3 linked regions of the Caenorhabditis elegans genome follow. The protein of the gene in region 1 interacts with the protein of each later gene in a pairwise test. Each region holds a gene or a part of one and is shown in the gene's direction. Other genes may lie near its edges.

Evidence for each region. Proteins that work in one complex are often made in the same cells at the same time.
Region 2: the proteins of F45D3.2 (region 1) and daf-12 interact in a two-hybrid assay, tested with the Caenorhabditis elegans proteins (one large-scale study listed by BioGRID).
Region 3: the proteins of F45D3.2 (region 1) and calu-1 interact in a two-hybrid assay, tested with the Caenorhabditis elegans proteins (one large-scale study listed by BioGRID).

What each region holds. Positions count from the first base shown.
Region 1 is NC_003283.11:12,539,312-12,543,502, forward strand, and holds F45D3.2 (Homeobox domain-containing protein), read left to right. Parts: upstream 1-1,727; 5' UTR 1,728-1,766; coding exon 1,767-1,856; intron 1,857-1,908; coding exon 1,909-2,479; intron 2,480-2,532; coding exon 2,533-2,669; coding exon of another isoform or gene 2,670-2,677; intron 2,678-2,964; coding exon 2,965-3,156; 3' UTR 3,157-3,666; downstream 3,667-4,191.
Region 2 is NC_003284.9:10,642,877-10,647,503, forward strand, and holds the start of daf-12 (Nuclear hormone receptor family member daf-12), read left to right. Parts: upstream 1-1,563; coding exon 1,564-1,674; intron 1,675-2,961; coding exon 2,962-3,021; intron 3,022-4,627. UniProt on the Caenorhabditis elegans protein: Nuclear receptor which binds directly to response elements in target gene promoters. Activity is modulated by binding of steroid hormone ligands that include dafachronic acids.
Region 3 is NC_003284.9:4,968,970-4,972,548, reverse strand, and holds calu-1 (Reticulocalbin-3), read left to right. Parts: upstream 1-1,637; 5' UTR 1,638-1,653; coding exon 1,654-1,746; intron 1,747-1,801; coding exon 1,802-1,905; coding exon of another isoform or gene 1,906-1,957; coding exon 1,958-2,504; intron 2,505-2,555; coding exon 2,556-2,756; 3' UTR 2,757-3,015; downstream 3,016-3,579. Other genes in the region: M03F4.6 (EB domain-containing protein), read left to right, coding at 3,228-3,309.

The sequences.
Region 1 (4,191 bases):
CTTTTTCCGTCTTTTTCTTCTGAGCGTGGAGAGAAAATGTGTGTGTCGTCTATCTCTCCATCATACTCTACATGCCCTTTTGTTATTTCGCACTTCCCCGCAGCGCCAGGCCTCCTAGGCATCCCCAGACTGAAAGGTCGACCTCTCATACTTCTCCATTCCTTTTCCTTTCCTTTTTCTTCCTTATTCAAGCTTAATCTTAGTCAGATTTTCTGATAGATACTGACTCATTTTTTCTTCATAATGTAACATAACACATAACACCTGCATGTGAGATCTTGACGTGGTCAATTTGTACTTTTTGCTATTTTGTTATTGCTTCTCTAATCTGATCTGGTCTCAATCACATTTTTATCTTCCGTCTTCATGATGCCTTTTTGTGATAAGAAATGAGTTAGATAATAGAAATGAATAGCAAAAAAGCGAACTTTTAGTGATCACGATCAGAACAGTTATTGAAGAATAAAAACAAAACAAAAAGTTCATGATGTGTGTCCATGTGTCTGGTACATGTGTCTGTTTCAGTTATTCTGAGAACTACGTCAATTTCGTGCTCAAGTAAATTTTCATATTCCATAGTTAGAATATCAATCAGCTGCTATCTCTTGTATATTTGCCAACAAGTGCAGATAAATTTAATATGAACTATCTGAGCAATGCATAACCTGTGCCCAATAATGTTTTTAGTTTTACATCATTAATTTCAGCTGCTCGCATCTTATTAGTCCTTTCCATAATCTTCTTTCTTCTCCTCCTCTTTTGCACTTTTCCTAGCATTCTCAATGCCCCACCCACCCCCTTCTTCATCTTTTTTTCCTTTCCGAGAGCGTAAGTGGGCGGAGCCTTCTGTCGAGATGCCAGGACGTCAGTCACTCATTGCCATGCTACTCACGTTTTGGCTTGTCATTTTTTTGGTCACAGTTGTCAGGAAGCTTATCAAATCGTTTTACGCTTTCACGCAAAGTTCTATTCATATCAGTTCATTTTTGTAAAAGTGCATTTGAGTCACTGATTGTTTTTTAAGACATCGAATCCCTCATTTATCCGTCTAACCCTAAAATTGGCATCCGATCTTCCTTAAATCCTCATTTTGGCATCTTGAAAATTATTAGTTTAAGCAAAAAGTTCAGTTGAAGTACACTTGACTTCACCTTTTCAGTTTCCAGTTTTTGTCATGATCATCATCGTTTATATACCATGAAGGGCACCTTCATATCCTTTTTGGAACCAATTGCGCACGCCTGTCTGTCTCTAAAGCACTTCTTGTTTTTCATATGTGAGTGTGGAGAGTGAGAGTAAACCGGGAAAAAAACAACGACAAAGCTAGAAGGGAAAGTAAGAAAAAATAGAAGGAAAAGTGACAAAATAGAATAGAATAGACGTGTGTGTGTGTGTGCGTGGTCTGTGTATTGTTGAGGACACCGGTTCACCACTTTTTCCCTCGAATTCCCTGTTTGGCAGAGACTGAAGCTGAAATTTTTTGTTAGACTTCCGACATTTTTCCATCAAAACTTGATCACATTCGCTCAGAGATGAATCTCCAGTTTCAGTACACTTGCGGGCGCCGCCGCCGCCGAAATTCTGCACTTTGCCTCCAGATTCCCTTGTCCTTTTTGTTTTCGACACTGCGATTTGTCGTTTTGATTCACTAGTCTGTTCCTCCTTTTCCTATTTTTCTAATTCCTAAACGATTACAGTGACATTTGAAAAACGTTCGAATATTTTCAGGGATATCTTCTTTTCCCTTGCATTCAAAAGAATAAGAAATGGACCAACTGACTTCCCAGCTTGGAAGCGCTGAGCTTCAGGCTCTTATTGCTGCCTTGCCACATGATTTGACTCTTAACCCAGTAACTGTAAGTTTTAAATCAAATATGCAAAATATAAATCAAAATCTCATTATTTCAGAGCAAACCATCATCTGCATCAAGCAGTGATTTATCGGCATCTACTTCTACATCTTCATGTATTTTTCCTCCAATCAACGATATGACAGCACTTTCAATGCTTTCCCTAGGTGCCTATCCTGGCCTGTTCACTGGATTCCCACTTTTGTCTACTTTGCCATACTTGAATCTTCCACCACACTCAACAATCGAATCATTGGGACTTATCAACTCAGCCCTTTATCAACAACAAAAAGATGTTCAAGCTGCAATGAACTCACCAGTTAACCAATTTACTGCTGGATTAGCAGCTGATGGACGCCCAAGAGCATTTTCAAGCGCTGCCACTTTGCAACACGGAAAAGATCAAGAGAAACGACGAAAGAGAACAAGAAAGATGGAACCATCACTTCCAATTACAACAAGTACCATTACATGTTCCTCGAATTCGTCTCCCTCATCAAGCTCTATAACTACATCTGTGCTCCGAACATTAGTAGAAGATGATGATGCAGATGTGCATCCAAATAAAGTTCGACCAATTCAAGTAACAAAAGAGGAAGAGGATCTTGTTAGAAGAAAAACTCAAGAATGTAAGTCGTATATTCAAATTTTATAAATTTAAATTTACAATTCTAAATTTCAGTGCTCAAATCCATGCCCCTTCAAAAATTAGAGCCAGAAGTCAGCGCAAGTGGCCCACTTCGCCGTCTTATTCGAGACGAAGACCTTCCAGACGAGGTCGGACCAGATTCGCCATTCCGCCACTACCCAAAGTATCAGGTACACAAGTTAGTAGTTTTTCGATTCTTCCTTTTCTTAATAGTTTAAATCGAAATCTTCTCTCTATTCTTCTACTTTTTTCACATTTTAATGATATTGTCGTGCTTGACAGAACTGCATATTTTACAACCAATTTTTGTTTTAGAAAATTAATTTTAAAAACGCAGCTCTGGTGTGAAAGTAAAGTATTTGATTTTTATTTGATCTGTCATTAAGTTTAAATTGTTCAATAAAATTTCAATTTGCACACTCTTTGAAATTTGAAATACATTTTTTAAACTCTTTTTATTTTCAGCAGAAGCCCCGTTCACAACTAGTCATGCTTCAAGGAATCCAAGCGGCAGTCGCATGTATGTGCATTGAAGCTTTTCAACTCGACGATAAAACCGATGAGGAGAAAAAAGCTTTTTGTCAAAAACAACAAGGCCTTTCACTTGATGATTTGGTCAAGGAAACTGTGCGTCAGGAACTTGTAGCTGCAGAGTAGAACGTTTAGCTCTCATTATTTATACCTATCCACTTCTTTTTCGTTTTCAACCAGCTTTTACTCTAAGTTCAATTTTACTCAATATGGATAGGTTACAGTTTTCCCCGTTGAAATAGCCCCTATTTTGCTCTCAAAAACTACTCACTATTACGTCTCAAGGATCAACCGTTGCGTGTGCATTTTTCGTCTCCCCGTTCCATTTTTTGCTCTTCTCTTTTTTTTCTCTTTGACTAGAACTGTTTCTTTTGGATGGTCAAAGAGGAAAATTTAATTTTAATGTTTTTGAACAAAACTTCAATGCTTTAATATTTTATGTCCGTTTCATATTTTCCAACTTTGTATTTCCTGTTTTAAGCTTAAACCTTCATTTCCAAACGTCTCAATGTAATTCTCACAACATTGCCCAGCCTTTCAAATGATTAACATTTTTTTGTAAAAATTAAACGTTTAAATTCTAAAAATAATCAATCTGTACAAACAAATATGAATAAACATTCTGCAAATTGATAAGTTCATCCAAATGTAGTTTTCAGAAAAAAATAACACATCAAGTACCGTACTATTTTAAATCATGTGGCTTAGACTTTTGAGTTGTTTTCGACAAGTTCACGTCATTTTTCTCTCATTTCCAGTTTCCGTTTTGCACTTTCATTGATCAGTTACCCAGTTTTTAGGAAAATAAAAAAGGGCAATGGGGGATGCGGAAGTCTTTCAGCAGAATGTCACATTTTCAGAGAATGACCTTCGAAGTTTAGATGAAGACTGTAGTTGTTCAAAGCATAAACAAAATTTACAGTGAACTTACAACGTTTGCAAGTGCTTTTCAGAAATATGACTTATGAAGTACAGTTATTCCTAAGCAAACAAAAATGTGCCTGATGAAATAAGTAGCTAAACAACTCAAAAATAGAACGTGGGTGTCCGGTAAAAGCACTTTACTGTTTGAATTTGATTCAACAGCATTTTAAATAGAAGTGTGATAAGACAGCAACAATTTATAAGTTGGTAAATCAATTTTAGGCTATTTTGAATATT
Region 2 (4,627 bases), on another chromosome or scaffold:
CATTTTTTGGTTCCTCAAATTATTTTTTTTGAAAATAATTTTATTTGTCTGATAAGTGATCTTAAATGTAACTGATATTTTTTTAAAGTTGGATTCAAAATGAAAACATTTTCTAAAAATGGTTTTTTCAATTTAATTTTATTTAGTATTTCAGTACTTTCCTTTTTCCATTAATCAGTTGAATAGGAGATGTAATTTTTATTAAGTTTAATTTTACATTTTGTATTAAACTTATTCAAAAATAATTAATTTTTTTCCCTAAGTTAGTCAAAAATATTTTTTAAAACTTTTTTAATACTTTTGAGATAAATTTTTAGATTTTTTATTTCACTTTCGTGATTGTTCCATTTTGCAACATTATTCTGCATCAAAATACATTTTGAAAACATTGAAAGTTCTTCAAATGCCGCAACTCGATTTTATTTTAATTTCATCAATTTTCTTGGCCGAATATCAAATTTCTATCTGAAAATTAACTCAATCTTTTTGTTTTTGACTCAGAATTGAGTGCACCACAACTTATTTTTCAATTTCTTACATTCTCTAAAACCTTTTTTTGTTCGTTCCGTGCTGTTTTATTTCAATATTTCACCAGAAATGCATATTCTTCTCAGTAGGTGCAGTTTCATGTGTTGAGTGAATGAGACCACGACATTTTTTACAATTGTTCCGCTTTTTCCCTCCCCATATGCCATCTCAAATCCAAATTTCAAATGCCTTCCTCTCCAGCTTCTCATCTTTCCAATTTAGCAATTTTTCACGTCAAAATGAAACGAATCAGATTTTTGGTGCTAAGCATTAGGATTTGATGAAACAAACACACTATAATCAGAAGTGACAGATTTTCAATTAAATTTTTAGAGATAAATACATAATTTATCAATTTATGCGTGCCAGCAAAAAGGCAGAAATAGTATGAACAGCAGAGTCTACTTGAGACTAAATCTTAGTTCTACTCATCAACCAAGCGGATGAAAACATGATAATGAAAATGTACTTTTATTTCAGTTTAAATTGTAGATATCCACGCACCAGTTAACCCAGTTATCTGGTTTGTTTGTTTTTTTTTTGCTGGTCGTCAAGAACAACTTTCGATGTAGATAACTTTACCGAGCTTCATTCATCAAAAAACATTTTTTTCCCAATTTTTCGTTACAAGTTATAACTGTATATAATATCTAATCAAAAAGAAAAACTTATTTTATAGAGAAAGTTTTGACGAGATCTGTTTTGCCTAATCGAGATGTTTCAATTTTACAAAACTTTGCTCGCAATCAGTAGATATGTTTAAAATTAGCAGTAGCAAAATTTTTTTTTTTCGACTGTTCCACGCAAAAAAAAAAATCACAGCAGAAAAATGACAAAGTATTCACAAATAACGACCTCCCGTCCCCGTTCTTGTGTCTCTTCCGATCTTTTCTTTTGTGGCTGTTGATCACCAGTGTGTACTTTGGAAACTTATTCCTTGCTATTCCATGTTGCTCAAAATCTTGCTTTACTTGCTTTACAAAAACATAATGAAAATTTTTCAGCGCACATTTCGGCGCAACGGGCGCCAATTAAATGGGCACAAATGGAGGAGTCATTGCGGAACAGTCAATGGAAATCGAAACAAATGAAAACCCAGATAAGGTAGAGGAGCCCGTCGTGAGAAGGAAACGAGTAACCCGCAGGGTAAGTGATTTCTAAAATCTCACGGCTTTAAAAAATTGTATACCGAGAAGAGCCAGTACAAACTGTGTAAAGCAATCAAAAATGTGAAAATTAGTATAAATCGGCAAAAAGGTGAACAAATTGGATATTTACAAGTTATTTATAACAAACTTAAAGTTGAAACCGTATTTATAATTTTTTTCTCATCAGCTAAACAGAAGACCAAAGTATCAATAAAAGCTTGTGGGAATAGATGCAGAATAGTCTTGTAGAAATGACCTTTTTTGCAAAATATATTGCATCATTTTCACAAGAATGTGTTAACATTTATGTTTAAACCTCAGTTATTTTGTAGAAGTTTCGAACAAATGGTATTGAAATTTTCTTAGAGTTGATACTCATCAATTTTATTTAGTCTTAACTTACAAAGCCACTTCAAGCCTATCTACTGGTGTCAGTAAAAAAACACAAAATATGTAGTAACGGCATATCATGGTAGAACAATTTTCAAAATGTTCTCAATTTCATATTTGGTTTGAAAACTGAAAAATTCGACCATTCTGGTACAATCGGCATTATGAAACAATGTCCTCTCTGCAGCTATTTCCCCTTTTCCACTCAAAAATGTGTCGGAAATAAAATCTTACTTTCTAAAGTATTCGTAGAGCTTAAACGTTTAACTGTTATAAGTAACACATAAATATGTCTGCTTCTTTCTCAAAGAACAGCACTGATTTTAGAACGTTGACATGTCATCTTCGGCGGTCTGTGTCTAAATGTTCGATTTGTAGCGATAAGCGTTAGAGTGGCCAATATTTTCTGAGAACAAAAAGGAGTCATATTCTTATCATCTCTTTTCGTGCGTTTTCTATCTTTTGTGTAACCGTACCCTCCCACCACTTGTTAGCAGCAACATTTATTCTCTCTGAATTTCTACATCAAAAGTGCAATTTGGGGGAGTTGAAAACTGTTCGACCCTCCCAGCGCCGAAATCGACGGCTATCTTAACGGGGCGCCGAGATGAAGTAGGCAAAACAGATCATTGCAACAACACATACAATCGCCATCTATACTCTCACAGTGCCATGTATAGTAACTCTTTCCACAATTTCCACAAACTTCCATTCTATCCAACTCCATATTACTTTTCTGCTGTTTCTTACGAAACTCCTATTCAAACGTCAAAAACTCCGGGTTCAGCAAGTGTAATTGATGTTGAAAAGATTGACGACGATGATAAATCGTCAAGCCCAGCAAGTGTAATTAAAAATATCATAAATAATATTTAAATAATTTTTTTTATTTCAGCGCCACAGGCGGATACACAGCAAGAATAACTGCTTGACACCTCCAAACAGCGATGACGACGTTAGTTTGTTATTATGTTTTTTCAATCAGGTTAGATTATTATGACTTGACTCAACCATTGCACCAAGATGAAACTTTTTGTTGTTTTTGTGGTTGGCGGTAGTATTCTATAACTTTAAATTGCTAAACGATTTTCTTTTCTTCAATCAAGAATCTTATTGGATTTGAATTATTGGAGCTACATATATTTTCAGTTCATTGAATTTAATGCTCTATATTTTTGTGTGTATTCAGAAAACATGGTGTTAACAAATGAATATAATAACACTCTAAAGGACATTTAGTTATCAAACTTTAATTCAGTTTTAGAAATTTGTAATAAGCTTCTATTATAAGTTCAAAAAGTTCCATTCTGATCCGATCCTTCTTCTTATTGATTGTTTCTCATCAATTAGTCTTCATCTCTTTTTCGAAGTTCGGCGTATGTTTTGTGCAGCGTTAAACTCACGCCATTTTGCTGACGGGGAATTGTTTAGAAGTGAGTGGAGAGGAAAGAAGAACTGATGTTCTTGAGTGTGATGTGCTCTCAACATTCGAGAAAATGATGAGAGAAATTTCATGTGTTGAAGATACAAAATGCGCTCAAGATAATGGTGGACTTTTACTTCTACATCTAAACGCTTTTTCAATGAAACCTGTACTGGAAAAATTCGAAAGGAAAAATTCTGGAAAAGTCGTTCAGCTTTTACGATACCTGAAATAAATGAACTCATAGTGAGCTCTAGTTGAAATTATTCGGACCAACTAGGTCTGAAACAAAGAAGCTGTATTCTTGCCAACAACGATCAAAGTTTAAAGTCCAGTGTCATCATCGTCATCTTCAATATCTCAATTTTCATCTTCAAACAATCAACCTATCCACAACCTGTTCGGAACGCCAAACTACGGTAATCAGCGCCGGTGTTTTGATAAAGCGATAAGCATAAGTGCTCACACTTACTTCTTACTTACAATTAAATTCGCTTCCTTTTTGGGCCGTTCCAAGGTCAAACGGTGAAACACACGCACCGTACATATACACAGGACGCACTGAAGTTTTTGCTACTGCTGCCTGTTGTGTCGTCGTTCGGCCCCGATTTTTTTAAGTGTGTGTGTTCCATATTACCGCAAAAACTTGGGACCACGCCTCTCACAACACCTACTTTCTCAATTATTCCGAAAACAACAATGAAGTGCTGATGATACCATTCTACTATATACTTCCGGACGTCTATACTTCATTCCGAACACAAAAATCAAAAAATGACACTCGAAGCAAATGTGGCGGCACTTTCGAAATTCATGTCATTCGACAAAATGCTTGCAGCATTACGGGTGAGTAAACGTGAAGATTATTCAAATTGCCTTGAACAATCCAGAACAAGTAACCGTTTTTGACTCATTATTGTAACACTTTTTCTCAATCTTAAATGTTCAAACGTTCAAGTGTTCTTTTAGTTTGCAATTCCCACAAGTTTGGACATGTAGTTGTAAAATGTCAGTCACGCTTTTTCAAAATTATTCAATTAGTGCTCACGAGAATCAGTGAGCACCACCACATGATCTCCTTACACTCATCTCCTTTATTTTTTGATTATCTTTTTTTTTTTGTTTGTTTTCAGTGTAT
Region 3 (3,579 bases), on another chromosome or scaffold:
TATCGTTCCATTATAACAATATCTGTTCGAACTATTCACCTTTATCTTTTATGTGTATTCGGTTCTTTTTGTTTTCGTTCCTCCTAACTGGGTAAGTGGGCCGCGCGCACGAGTGAAAAGATGTGATGTCCCTTTCCCCCGCGGTCCGGGGTGATAATCAGAGGCGCGTACAGGCCGATTTAGTTCTATGTAAGATATGGTTAAACAGATAAGTTGTATGATGGTTGAGGTAAGAAATGATTTGGGGTCACCGGCCGGCACGCCGCATTTCTAGGGTCGACACCACAGGCAAAAGACGAGATCTTTTTTGATGACGTGTTCCAGGCGGAGACGACAGCTGTGAAACAGAAGAAGATTCTCGAACGGTCCACACAACTGCTGCACGACGGCTCATCTATTTAAACCCTGCAGACGTGTGTCGCGCCGCTGACCGATTGACCAGACGTCTTTCCATTGACTTTCATTTGTTTATTCAAAGTAAGAATTCTATATAAACTAACTAGCCTCGGATTGTTTATTCTACTGTGAATCTTTAAGCAACCTTCACGGCAATGGGAGGCTTCTAGTTTGAGGTTTTCTTAACACTAGACATAGTATTTATGTGTACTGATAAGTTCTAGATCCCTGTTACGAATTTCATGTAGAACGTTCTACGTTTGAGGTTTTTGAAACTTGTATGAGTTCTCTCAATTCTCACTGAACAAAATTTCGAGAAAAGAAATTTGAAGAACATCTAGGAGAAGAACTACAAACTCATCCCAACAAGTGACTCGAGATTTGTACACGTGGCTCTCTTTTTCTTTCTGTGGACGAATGTGTGTGTGTGTGTGTCTCGGGGTTGTTCTACTCCCGCCGCAGTCTTTCTCTCTTTACCAGGCCATTGTCTGCCGCCTCCGCCCTCCCGCATAGTCTCTCCAATGTTTTAACTTAACCTCTGACTGCGTCTCCCGGTACACTGTACTCTCTGCTCTGAGAAATCGGCAGCCCCGGCAGGCACTGACCCCCATTTTGTGATGACCATCTCTCTCTCTCTCTCTTACAAGAGGGTTTCTTTTCCTCGCTCACTTCTTGCTAAAACTGTAGTATCCTGAACTGCATAGGTAGCCGAGAAGAAGTCACCGAATTTTCTCTTGATTCGCTTCGTTTGCAGCGTTCTCTTGATCATTTTTATTTCCATGAAGAAATCAAGAAATAACATTTATTTATATCTTATGCTACGTGTACTAATCTTTAGAACGAAACCCCTCCTCTTGAAACATTTAAACCCTGTGAAATCATAAGAGTAGCCTCTGGCTAACGTATAGGCATCGAATTTGTTTGCGTGAGCAGCAATATGAGGTATTGAGAAACTGTCAACACTGGCGGGTGAGATTGACAGTTCGCAAGCAGGCCAACTCACTCCTTCCAATCGGGCGTCTGTCCGTAGTTTTGGGCTGTCTTCCATCTTTCTGCCTTCAGACAATCGCTAGACGGTGCATAAAAAGTGTTCCCGATTGCTTGACCTATTTATGTATATCCTTTTAAAGAGCCGTCAGTATTCCCCACTTCACATCGTAATTGTTAATTAGTACACACTTATCCTATGTTTTGTATTCTCAATTGTTTTTGTTTCAAAAATGATTTATTTTTAATTTCAGGTAGTAGGATCTGGACATGAAGGTTCTTCTCTTCGTTGGTCTCCTCGCAGCCACCGCGCTTGCTTCCCATCACTCATCCGATCCATCGAAAGATGGTGAACATTTCAAGGTAATTTGCAGTTTTACGCATAATCTTTTACAAATATCTGTTCTGTTATTTTTAGGGAAAGGAACATGACAAGAAGTACGATCACGAGCAGTTCCTCGGAAAAGACACCGCTGCTGAATTTGATGAATTAACACCAGAAAAGTCAAAGGAGAAGCTTGCGTATGTTCTTTTAAAGTCTCATGACCTTCAAATCAACGTCTATTATTTTCAGCAAGCTCGTTCCAAAGATGGATGCTGACAGCGATGGCTTCATCGAGGAGAACGAGCTCAAGGATCACATCAACTTCATGCAAAAGAGATACGTCAACAACGACGTGGACCGTACCTGGAAGAACTACAAGGCCGAGAAGATTGTCGACGGAAAGATCAAGTGGGAAGACTACAGAGAGATGGTCTACGGATCTGCTGACGGAGCTGGCCAGGAGCTTTCTCCAGAATACGCTAAAATGATCGCACGTGACGAGAAGAGATGGGCTGTTGCCGACTACGACTCAAACGGAGCCCTCGACAGAACCGAATACGGTTGCTTCATGCATCCAGAAGACTGTGATCACATGAGAGACGTTGTCGTCGCCGAGACTGTCGATGATATTGATAAGAACAAGGACGGATCTGTGGATCTTGATGAGTACATTGGAGATATGTATAGACCAGATGATTACCCAGAGTTGAATGGAAAAGAACCAGACTGGGTTCAATCTGAGCGCGAAATGTTCAAGGAGCACAGAGACAAGGACGGAGATGGAAAACTCAATCAGGTATAATAATGTCTATAATATGATGTCTAATTAATAATGATTATATTTCAGGAGGAGATGCGCGATTGGATTATGCCAGTTGGATTCGACCACGCCGAGGCTGAGGCTCGTCACTTGGTTGGAATCGCCGATGACAACAAAGACGGAAAACTGAATCTCGATGAAATCGTCGCCCACTACGACACATTCGTCGGATCCCAGGCCACCGACTACGGAGAGCAACTCCAGAAACACGACCCAGCCGAGCTCTAAAATTTTTGTTTTTCTCCAAACAGTATTACGCGAAAATTCTCATTTGAGATCTGTTAGTAATAATAATGTGTGACTGGTCTTCGAAACTCATTCTTACTTAACAAAAAATGTTCACTGTTCTTATTTATCTCATTATTGTTTGCCTTTTTCAATGTCATAAGTATATAATTTTCAAGCGCATGCATTTTTGAATTTTTCGGATTTTTCGAATTTTACTGGTTTTAATAATTATCAACAAATAAAAGTTTATGCATTCAAAAATCCAATTCCTTACAGAACAACGGAAGGTTAATGAAATAATTTAGTGTGTCAAATGTGTACGACTTCGCCATGTCTTCGCACAGCGGACGTGGCGACGATCATGACGGTGTTGACCCCTTGATGATTTTCCTTTCATAGTCGCATCTCTGTCTCTCTTTCCGCAGGGAAATCTTCAAATCGGTTCTGTCCTAATTTTTCTTCGCCATAGTAATGCATAGCCCATTCATCCAAGTGTTATTCTTGTTTCTGATTATTGATCGATTAGCTTTAGCGTTCGATGTTCCGTGTGCACGTGAGTCAATTTGAATGTTTTATATCGTAGTTGTATGAAACATTGAGCTAATACATGTATACTGGTTCTTGGAATTGAAAATTTTTCTTATTATATATTTGAATAATGCCTATAATTTGTGAAAATTTCAGAAAAATTCTAACTTTATTACAATTAAATAACGAAATAATAAAGTTTTGAAATCCTAAAATCGCTTATTTTCAGAATTTCTATTTAATATTTCCAAATTGTATCATGGCTTATTTTTGTTTGAAGGCAGTGTATGTAGTT